Linked DNA regions of Oryzias latipes. The protein of the gene in region 1 interacts with the protein of each later gene in a pairwise test. Links are inferred from orthologs where the notes say so. Each region holds a gene or a part of one and is shown in the gene's direction. Other genes may lie near its edges. The genes, in order: drap1, gtf2b and pole3.

What was found.
Region 2: the proteins of drap1 (region 1) and gtf2b interact in binary tests that used the Homo sapiens proteins (3 or more experiments, as listed by UniProt). The two-hybrid records come from large-scale screens. The link is inferred for Oryzias latipes from reciprocal best matches to the Homo sapiens genes DRAP1 and GTF2B.
Region 3: the proteins of drap1 (region 1) and pole3 interact in binary tests that used the Homo sapiens proteins (3 or more experiments, as listed by UniProt). The two-hybrid records come from large-scale screens. The link is inferred for Oryzias latipes from reciprocal best matches to the Homo sapiens genes DRAP1 and POLE3.

Annotation. Positions count from the first base shown.
Region 1 is NC_019876.2:27,236,800-27,240,552, forward strand, and holds the start of drap1 (dr1-associated corepressor), read left to right. Parts: upstream 1-1,210; 5' UTR 1,211-1,420; coding exon 1,421-1,462; intron 1,463-3,459; coding exon 3,460-3,532; intron 3,533-3,753. UniProt on the Homo sapiens protein: The association of the DR1/DRAP1 heterodimer with TBP results in a functional repression of both activated and basal transcription of class II genes.
Region 2 is NC_019875.2:5,826,517-5,830,269, reverse strand, and holds the start of gtf2b (transcription initiation factor IIB), read left to right. Parts: upstream 1-1,508; 5' UTR 1,509-1,587; coding exon 1,588-1,604; intron 1,605-2,251; coding exon 2,252-2,364; intron 2,365-3,753. UniProt on the Homo sapiens protein: General transcription factor that plays a role in transcription initiation by RNA polymerase II (Pol II). Involved in the pre-initiation complex (PIC) formation and Pol II recruitment at promoter DNA.
Region 3 is NC_019861.2:5,686,181-5,689,933, reverse strand, and holds pole3 (DNA polymerase epsilon subunit 3), read left to right. Parts: upstream 1-1,134; 5' UTR 1,135-1,333; coding exon 1,334-1,399; intron 1,400-2,798; coding exon 2,799-2,884; intron 2,885-2,975; coding exon 2,976-3,094; intron 3,095-3,161; coding exon 3,162-3,337; 3' UTR 3,338-3,503; downstream 3,504-3,753. UniProt on the Homo sapiens protein: Accessory component of the DNA polymerase epsilon complex. Participates in DNA repair and in chromosomal DNA replication.

The DNA of each region.
Region 1 (3,753 bases):
AAATGAATAATGCAGGCGTTTTATTTGTTTCTAAACCAGTAATAAAATCAGAGACATGACGTGTTCTAGATGTGACCGTTCACCCCTCAGTGGCATGGTTCCAGGCTGTTCTGCCTTATGAATCTGGATGATAATCTCTTTATATGTCCACCAGACCAAATCTTGAATTTCTCTTTGTTGCTTTTTTACCCACAACTGTGTAATATTAAACCCTTGGGCCACAAAGGGGTCTAAGATTTGGCAGAAAGGCCGGACCGGGAGCTGTTGTACAGAGTGTTTTGGTATCACAACTCATGAGATGAAGAAATAACGTGGAATCTTGACAAAAACATCTGTAGCTTTTGATAGAAAATTGACATACATGTAGAACATTTTGGTGTCTTTATTTCAAAACTGTGGCTTTTCTTCCCATTTTAGAGCCATTTGCACCAATGGATTGATGTTCCTTTAGGGAAAAAGTAAATTAGAGTAACGCTGCGTTCAAGTGGAATTGGAATGATAGAAAAATGCTTCCCAGAAAAACAACATATATTCCAAAACCACATGCAATGCAAAATGAGCTTCTGCATCTGAGCAACAGCCCATTTATTTGTAGAGAACCATCTATGGGGAGGCACCAGAATTACAGGGAAAAGCAGGAAACTGGTTTGAGGCTGCATTTATCTTTTTTCTTTCTTTTTATGTCTGTCCACTTGTCCATTACATTATTTTCTAATTTTGTTTTGTTTTTTTGTTTTTGATGTTTGTATGAATATTTTTCGTTGTTTTTTTGTTTTTAAATTCTTAGTTAATTTTGGATTTTTAAGGGCTATCACCTCTGAAGGGGGATTCATAGCATTTAGGGGAGGACATTACCCCCCTTGCCCATGCCTGTATACGGCCTCGATTCACCGCTGTAATAAAAAGATACACCTGGAGAGGCTGGTTTGACATTGAACAGTTTTAAGTGTATCACAACCTTTCTTCTTAATGAAAACATGACTGGACTTTATTTTTTGTTTCTTAAAAAATGTTCCATTAAAGTATTATGTAGTAGTATTAGTTTTTTGTGGCTTTTCAGGACACTATTTTTTTTTCCAGTGATTTGCTGTTGTGTTTCAGTATTTGTTCATTTTTACTGGGATTTGTTGTTGTTGTATCTGGCACTTCTCGGCCACCGTATTTTTTCTCTACACACTAATGAAATCTGAGAGTAGCGCAGCAAGTGCCAACATGACCGGCGCTAGGACCTGGCAAAAGCAAACGGATCCCTTCAGCTCCTCAAGCAACGAGGAACGAGATGACGACAGCGCGCTAACAACTTAGCCGGATAGCTAACGCTATCTGGTGTACGTGCGGTGGAGGTGAATTCACATGAAATAGCAGTATAACCCCAAACATTTAACATTTTATTTTAGCTCAGTCACCAGGTTATTTAATTATGCCGAGCAAAAAGAAGAAGTACAACGCCAGATTCCCTCCGGTGAGTATAACCGTAAACTATCGGGTGTTGGGAGTCGCTAGCATTAGCAGACTGAGTGGGATTTGGCCTCTTTTGTTGCCAAGAGAATTAACAAGCTAAAGCAAGACTTTTCTAATGCAATTCGTTCTCCATCACCGAGATATTGTCCGTGTAAATAAAGCAGGTAACTAACTAATTCACGAGTCGTTCCCCGAGCAGTTTAGGCTGTGCGCCCTGTTGTTTTTAGCCTGTTATGCTAATCCTAATCTGGTATTATAGCTGTATAAACGGACAGTGATGGATCACAGCGCTGTCACGGCACGGCGCCCTTTAAATGTCACGTTTCTGCACCATCTAAATGAAGTTCTGGTTTGGTGTTTGTGGGATTTAGCTGATAAAGTCACACCATTATACCGATGGATGTTAATATTAGACAATAAATATTGGGATTCAGATGATAATAAACGAATCTGGGTGTAAAATTACAATAACCAGAACACGGGCTTTGATTTTAGAGATTTTGATTTTAATGTAAAGAGTCTCAGCAAGAGTGGATTAAACATAAAACTGGAATATTGAAAGACAACGCAATGTACAGAGGATCTCACTAAAGTGAGTACACCCCTCACTGTTTTCATTGGACACAAGACTTTTCGACACAATAAAATGTAGTCCGTGTTCATCTTTTATAGTAGTGAAAATTTTTTTCTTAAAAAATGACTATTAATATAGCCAAACCCCTGGCAACAAAAATGAATTTGGCATTTTCCTTCTCCGATATCATGTGACTCTTTACTGTTACAATGTCTCAGGTGTCAATAGATAGCAGGTGTGTTAAATATAGCATTAAAGCTCTTACACTCTCTCAAACTGATCACTGGAAGTTAAACATGGCTCCTCATGGCAAACCACTCACTGAAAAGAAAAAAAAGAATTGTCGGTTAACGTAAAGATGGCCTAGAAGGTTACCAACGGAAACGGTGCCCCCAAGACCATCCAGCGGTTTAAAAAAGACAGCTTTGACTCAGAACAGGTCTCGCTGTCGTCGGTCAAAGAAGTTCGTCGCACATTCACAGCATCACATCCAAAGCTGACCTTTGACACACATATGTATGAGAGCGTCGAGCTTTGCTGCAGGGGTGAGCCTGTCAGTGCTCAGACTATACGCCACAAACTGGTCTGCATGGCTGTTGTCCCACAAGAAAGACTTTTCTAAACGCGATGCACAAAAAGGCCCAGAAGTCAAGCAGACTAAGGAATGGATTACATGTTCTGTGGTCTGATGAGACCAAGATAAACCTGGTTCAGATGGCGTCAACCAGGTGAGGAGGACAAAGACAAGGGTGTCTTGCCTACAGTCAAGCACGGCGTTGGTCGAGTCATGGTGTGGGACTGCATGACAATTGGGGGGGGGGGGGGGGGTACAGAACCCCCAGCTTCTTCTCCTTTTTTTACATACTTTTGATGATTTTTACACAATAATTCTACAATGAGCATCAAGCTGTTCATAAAACTAAGTAACTTTTTACTGTAAAACCCACAAAAATTGAGATATAACAGTTTTTATATGTTTTAGAACAAAGATCAAATATGTGTAGATAAAATTAAAAGGCATAAATCCAAAAACAAAGCAAAGGTCAAAACAATGAGAAAACAGGCAAAGCTCCACTCAAAGCACTAAGGGGTATCACAATTACAGTATGTGTCATAACTCTTGTTATGTTATTTTAAACTAAAAATGTTAAAGCTAATAACCTTTTGAAACCTTCAGGTTTGATTTTGAATAGAAACGATGCAGATGAGGGTGTCGGATTTATAACTGTGTCATTGTGGCTGACAAACTCAACTGTGGGTCTGCAGAGGGCTAATTTGTTTCAATATTCCTTTTGCTTTCTCTACTTTTCATGGTTAGACTGTCACCTCTTTGGATAAACTGCCTCAGATTGGGCGTTTTTTTCTTTTGTTAAACATGTCGTCCTCTCATGTCCTCACGTAACACCAGACTGTTGTCTTTTCAGGCAAGGATCAAGAAGATTATGCAAACAGATGAGGAGATAGGAAAAGTGGCTGCAGCGGTTCCTGTCATCATATGTATCCTTTGCAAACGTGTTGGAACGTCACAGGGCCTTGTGGGATTTTTGCATGTGTGCAAACCTTTTGAACCGCTGCCCGTGTTTGCAGACAGAGCACACGCATGTGTGTCGCACTAATCAGCTTCATCTCAAGGGCAGCGGTCAGCAGATTTGTGCATCTCTGCAGGTTTGGTTCTGGTTTTTGACGCTTCAGGAGGAAGCGGTCTGTGCAGACGTTTT
Region 2 (3,753 bases), on another chromosome or scaffold:
ACACCCCCTAATGAACTTTTCTATTTGTCTGGAAATTGTTACCTCCTACTTGAATTCTTAATAAAAGGAGCACGGGGAGAAGCAGTCATTTGAGAAGAGAAATGTGGTGGACATTTTCTGCCACATTTGCTTTTCTCCCTCGTGGATGACAAACTTGATTATTGTTGTGGTCTGTTTTTTCTAATTGTGTTTTTCTTTAATGTCTAGATGCATTTATCTGACACCAGGAAAACAAAGATGTTCATGGATCTATTTGTCTGCAGGTGATGATCAGAATGGAGCAGGTAGCTTCTGGTTTGCCGTTGCAAGTTCTACGTCACTGCTACAAGCTTTTTCAAATCCTAACTGTACTCTTTGTTAAGAACACCCAGAAACAATCAGCCACCTATTTTGGAACTGTAATATTACAAAAAAGTTTTGGAAAGAATGTACTTGTTTTATAAATCACAAATTTGACTCACAATTTCAGATGAAATTTGAATGAATCATATTTGGCCTACATAAAAAGAACATAAAATCAAACATAAAATTGAAAATTAATCCAATCATAATATAAAGTAAGTTAGACATCAACAAATCAAAATTTCACAACTTTTCCCCCCTGTATTTATTAAAGAATTAGAATCGTATTTATGTACTATTTCTAATAGCACAAACAAAAAAGGGAATACGTATTTATGAAAATTCTCTGTCTTTGAACATATTCAATGTATTGTGATGTGTTTTACAATATTTCTATTGTAATATATGCCATCCCCTGGCAGTCCCGTTTTTATGACTATTGTTCTTGTCATACATACTTGTTCTATGTGTTGTGAACAGTAATGCATTAAAAAAAACATTTTTTGGGGCAGAAATGCAGTTTTAAGATTAATTTTCTATATATGTCATCATATCATATCATGAGAAAAATGCCATTAGAACATATTAAAAACACCAAAAACGTGATTTCCATTAAAGTGGGTCTTTAACTTGTTTTTATTGGTTAAATGTTTTAGTAATGCTAGCTTAAAAATAAATGAAAGAAGCTTAAGAAAAAAAACAATGTAAAGAGAAAAAAAGACACTGAAGCACACACTCAGGTTTGAACAGTTCCCCAACCCAAATTTAACCATGACTAGTTTACCCCGACCTTAACTAAGCTCATTTACACATCAACCCTTTGGCCCGCGAGGGGCCAAAGCCTGCCCCTCATGGTCGATCAGGTGTCTGAAGGTCTCTGTGGGGTCAACATAAACCTGAAAAGCTGAAACACAACAACACACAACGTGTGTATTCATCATGAACACACGAATGAAGACTAAGAAGATCACCCAACTTCAACTTTCTAGTAGACCTGTCAAATGTGTAAACGGCAACAACATTGCAGGCAATGTAGTCTGATGATTTATTCGCTTTGGGTCTGAAATGTAAAAGAAAGGGACAGGTTTATTTTTTTCACCAAAGGTGACACAATATTTTTGACTTTATTTATTTATTTATTTTTAAACTTATTTGGCCTTCTTGACTTCCCGTAGTTGGTCACGTGATCAGAATAGTCTATAAGTACAAGTGCTGCATCCGTCCGGGAGAAGAGAGCGGAGGAAGATGGCTTCGACAAGTCGGTGAGTTGCAATGGCTGCTAACCGTTCAAAGCCCGGTTTTCTTTGTTAATGTGACTCAAAGTGTCTCGTGGTAAAAAACCACCGCGTCTTGTGATTGACCGTGGGACTCTGGCGGTAGAAAGTGTCGGGCTCCATTTTTCTTCTCGGGAATGTTCAGTCTTTTGTACTCCGTCCGTGACAGCCAGCTAGCTCGCGGGCAGCTTCACGGAAGAGGCTGCCCGTTAGAACTCCCGGTTTTGTCGTTTCTCTGACATCTGAACGTTGGCCTGAAGGAGTTCTGGATCAGCCTGAAACTCCGTGGAAACGCGCACGTCCGCACATTTACCGGGACTTAAACTCGTTAATATTTCTTTATGCTAGGAAAGTTGAAGCGATCGTGAAATGGGTATTTCCCATAATTCAACGCGTTTTGTTTTGGTGGGTAGATGACACAAGCAACTACAGAACCAGGCGACTGATAAATACTGGAAACATAGGCTGTTTGTAGACTTAATAAATATTTGTTAATCCTATCAAGGTGTCTGGCTTCTTCCTTGGAGAATGTAGCGGAACATCGACTTTAAGGGATTTTCTTTGTTCGTCATTTATTTGTTGTTTTTGTGCTCCTTTTTAACATTTTTGTTATCATTTGTGTTTTGCTTGTGCAGCGGAGATGCTCTCAGTTTACCCAGAGTGACATGTCCCAACCATCCTGATGCCATCCTGGTGGAGGACTACCGCGCTGGGGACATGATTTGCCCCGAGTGTGGGCTTGTTGTAGGTGAGTACTTCAATGATAAACCTGTACTTGGCCTACATTTGTTGGAGGTAAAATGGGTCCATAGCTGGAGAGGTTTGTCTTGATGCTGAAGCTGTAAAGAGTTCTGTGTGACCTGGCCTCCACAGTCAGACCTTCACATGCGCTTTGAACAAACCTAAAAGCTTTTTTTTCCCTGCTACCGTAATTTCCGGATTATAAACCGCCACTTTTGTCACACGCTTTCAACCCTGCGGTTTATTCAATGATGCGGCTGATTTATGCATTTTTTCTAACGGCTGCTAGGGGCGCTCGAGCAGAAAAGGAAAGAGTGAGACGGGGGATAAGGTATATGTGTCGAGGAAGACACAAGTTTAATGTAAATTCCCGCTTTCTGAATGAATAGCACGAACAGACCCTCATCATGGAAAATGCAAGAAGAAATGCATATGAGGCAGCTTTCAAGTTAAAAGCAATGGTTAACAGCAGTGTGAAAAAATCCACCATCACCAACGGGTTTGGAAAAGCCGGTCTGCTGCGTGACAGAGAGGACAGTGCAGACTCAGGAGAGAATTTACCTCAGGATGAGAGTGACACTGACAGCGACAACGAAGGAGAGACACAGAGCGTGTGTGGTGAAGAATATCTGACGCTTTTCCAATCCGACACTGAGGAGGAAGACTTCCATGGTTTCAGTGCACAGGAAGTTCGTGCTGCGCAGAGGCGAGCGCCAATAAGTTACTGCTGCTCTCAGTGACTTCTACCACGATGTTTTTTTTAACCAGCCCTGTTAGTGCTGTTACTACCGTATTGCTGCCGTGTTACTGCCGTGTCACAGGCACTGTTTGGAATAGAGCTGTGACGGTGTGGGATTTTTGATCACCGCGGTGATGAAGAAGCAGGAGAAGTCACGGTGTCGCGGTTTCCAAATAAATACCGGTATAAGTAATAATTACAACGCATTATTCTTTAACAAATAACAGTAACAACTAAATCTACCTAATGAACTAACTACATAGGTGTTGTAGAATGAGTATGTGTTTGTGTCAGCACACTGGGTGTGTAGGGGGAAGGAGCGTGAGTGAATGAGAATGCTCCCTCTTCCTATCCCGCTGCACGAGCTCCCCCCTCTTTCTCACACACGCCGGCGAGCGGTTTCAGCACGTACACATCCATTCTACAACACATGGTTCAATGTGGGCACATGCGGGCGGCTTAGACAGGTGCGGCTTATGTATGTACAAAATGGTTTATCCTTTAAAAATGTAATGGGTGTGGCTTATAATCAGGTGCGCTCTATAGTCCGGAAATTATGGTAATTATGTCACCTGTAAAGGAAGTCCATTTTATTCTCATCACGGATCTATTTTCAGCCATTTTTCCTCCAAAGAAAGATCAAAGCTCCAGGACTTT
Region 3 (3,753 bases), on another chromosome or scaffold:
GCTCACCCAGGGCCACCCTGCGTAGTCATCACCTTTGCTATAGTCAATGAAAACATCAATGATGCAATGCGGTAATATAGGTTTCATTCATATTATTGCTTTAAACCAGTTATCCTGTTGACAGTAAATGTGTAACTTGAAGCATTTCAGTTTATTTCCGGTTGAAAATGCAGGCGTGTAAAAGGTCATTATTGTTTCCAGGAAACGAATAGTATATTATTTTTACCCCTGTCAGGTCACGGGCTCCGTAATTATTCAACCTCAAGTAAGGTCAAGTAAAAAAAACTGTTGTGGAAGAAAGCCTTGTTAAAGCCAACATTAAAAAGACTGTGACAACAGCAATCTTATATCACCACCATGCCAAAACCCGAAAAGAAAAGAAAAGAGCAAGATAGTCTGCCTACAAAAGGCTGTGTTATAGACGCGCACAATTATGCTAACCAAACGGCTGCAACAGATGACTCAATGGAAGCTAACGACTTCACTTTGACCCCCCTTCCTGATACGCCACTGAAGTCCTCACTACTGAAAAGAGGTAAAGCTTCTGAAATGGAAGATCCTGAAGGCATTATTACCAAACTCTCTTTCCTCTTCAATTCAAGATCTGATTCCCTTGAAAAGATAGTGAGGGAGAGCTGTATGAAAATCAAAGGTCTGAAAAAACCCATTGATTTCGTTTCGGAGGGGCTGAAGGAAATGAAAACTAAAATGAAGGAGGTTGACACCCAGGTTAAAATGGGGGAACAGCGCATGGGGTCCTGTGAAAGTCGCATTGAAGAGCTGGAGCGTTATTCTCGAAGATGGAACTTGAGGCCGGCCGGGGTTCCGGAAAACAACACAGAGGATGTGAAAGCTAAAGTCATCGACATCTGCCAAAAAAAACAAAAAAAAAAAACGGAAAAACCAAAACCAAAAAAAAATAACTGTCGTTTCTTCACTTGTGTTCTCTGCTACTTATTCGGACCCCCCTACAAAATGGCGACCGCACTATATAGTGCACTAGATAGGGGTTAGGGCGGTAATTCGGACACAGGTGTTCCTGTTTGTCCCTGTGTGACATACAGTGTGTTTGCAATATTTGTCAATAAAGTTCATTTAAAAAAACTGGGCTTGAACGGAAATGACATCACAAAAGGCGGGAGGTCGCAATTTCTCTGATGACGTCCTTCCGGGAGGTTCGCGGGAAACGTCTCAAAACAAAAACGCGTTTCCGCCAGTGCTTTTAGGCTGAATCTGACAGCACGTGTCCCTTTAGCGCACGTGCGAATCCATTCAGTCAAAGAGGTGAGCTCAGCGCCGAGCAGAGTTGCGTGTTTTCCGCGCGAGCGGAGGAATGGCCGAGAAACCGGAGGATCTGAACCTTCCTAACGCGGTCATCACGCGCATCATCAAGGAGGCGGTGAGTTGGTTACCCCGGGAAGGAGCTCAGAGGGCAAGACGAGTGTCGGAGCTGCCGGACTCACCTGAACGATCGTTACCGAGCAACGGCGAAGTTTAAATGTGTGCAACCAAAACAAAGATGGCGCTCCCGCTGCCTGGACGTCCGTTCATTAAAAGATTAAAGCAGCAGTTTATTCACTAACTTGTATTTTTTGTAAAAACTAATTTAGCTTTTCATGCTATGTCATTCATTACCTACATGATGCAAAAAAAAAGAAAAAAAAAGAAGTCATTAGTTTCCAGCGTACTGCACAGTGGTGTAGTGGTCAGCACTCTCCCCTTACAGTGAGAACATGCTGGTTCAAATCCCGTCTGTGTGGAGTTTGCCTTGTTTGGATGCATGCTGGGGTCATGTCAGCCATCACTGGACTGTAGGAGTGAGATTACACTGAAGCGGTGGAGAAGCATCAACAGAGACAAATAACGTGATGGCCGTTTGCAGTACATGAAAATGACAGTACCGAAAAAAACACAAGTAGCCTCTTTGCCCGAGTTTAACCTAAAAAAAAACCTGTTCCTCAAATTAGTAGCTCACAGATCCTCCATAGTACTATTTAGTACAATACCCCTCAAATAATTAGTTGGTTTACTGTATAGTCTTTGAGTAAATCTATCACTCCAATGTGAGTAGACGTGACACTAACATCACTTAGCAGATTTGAGTTATGATCATTCCTTCATTTATTAGTAGTACTACTAAAAATAGTATTAATACAGAGTATTTAATCCTTAAAACCTGTTCTTATAATAAATAGCTCACCATTGCTTCATAGTACCACTTAGTACTTCATACAGCACTTCTACTGACAATAGTTTTAGTCTTTTCGTTTGTTTTTCTGTATAGTTTTGGACTGGTCCACTACAAGCGTCTACAATCGTTAATGATTGTGAGATCTCAGTTGTGGATTATTAAAATAATATGCAGTGAAATGAGGTGATAGTAAATGTGAGTTCTAATTAGTACTGCAAAGGAATGGTGATCTACTAATTAGAGGAAAAAGCTATTTGCTTAATCAAAATCTAGACCAAAAATCTTACATTACTTTTATGAGACATCAGTATTATGGTTTGATGTACACCTTTATGTGTCTGTGCAGAAAACAGAATTGTGTGACTGTTTGTTTTCCCAGCATGCTTTTCTCTAAACAGACATGTCATTTCCTGCTGCCACATGGTGGCACTGCAACGCTACACCAAAGGAGTTTGCTCATGCGTTTCTCAACAGTCCTGTGCTTTTCAGCTCTGCAGGTTTTTGGCAGAGATCCACCGGCAGTTCCGTGATCCGGATCTCTGGTTCTCTGAACCGTTTGGTTTCTGCCGCCACGGTTCTGATTCTCTAACGCTCTGCTTTCCCACAGCTTCCAGATGGGGTGAACGTATCCAAAGAGGCGCGCAGAGCCATTTCCCAGGCCGCCAGCGTCTTTGTGCTGTATGCAACCTCCTGGTGAGAAGCCCCCCCCCCCCCCCCCCCCCATCCACAAAACTCTGCGTTCAGCACTTTCTGTCCGTAAATAAAGACCGTTTTCTGCTTTTAGTGCCAATAACTTTGCACTGAAGGCCAAACGGAAGACTTTAAATGCTGCAGATGTGCTGGCAGCGATGGAGGAGATGGAGTTCGAACGCTTCCTGGAGCCTCTCAGAGCGGCTCTAGAAGGTCAGACGCACAAACACACAGCCTCAGAATGCTGCTGTCCAACAGCTAACAGTGTGTTCCTCCACAGTCTACAAGAAAGGTCAGAAGGGAAAGAAGGAAGTGTCTGAGCAGAAACGCAAAGAAAAAGAGAAGAAGGCAGACTGTGAGCATGAAAAGAGCAAGGAAGATGAGGAGGGAGAGGATGAGGAAGAACAACGCATGGAGGAGGAGACCGAGGAGGGGGAAGAGGAGGTGGAGAACTGAGGAGACAGACCTGTCCGACATGAGACCGGACTCTGGCTTCACAAACTGTAAAAACTGCTCTCAGAAGGACGGCTTCATTCCTGCAGTCCCCTCTCCATCAGCCAGCGGTTTGGTGTTCCCATGATACACTCTTTTGTAGTTTCAATAAATGTTTTGTATACAAGTAGAACGTACAGGTTCTTGAACCACAAGTGAATGGAGGAGAGCCCTCCAGCAGCAGATGCCAGGGTCATCATACGGAAGTCCTCCAACCACATCAGGCTGTTTGAACTGACAGGTGAGGAAACACCTGACCTGGAACCAGTTCAGTAGACGACGACCCAAAAGCACACGTACCTGTTCGGGGGCTGACCCGGATGGCTTTTAGGTTGTCTGGGCTCGTGGAGGGTTGTAGAGGATCTTAAGGGGAGCACAGG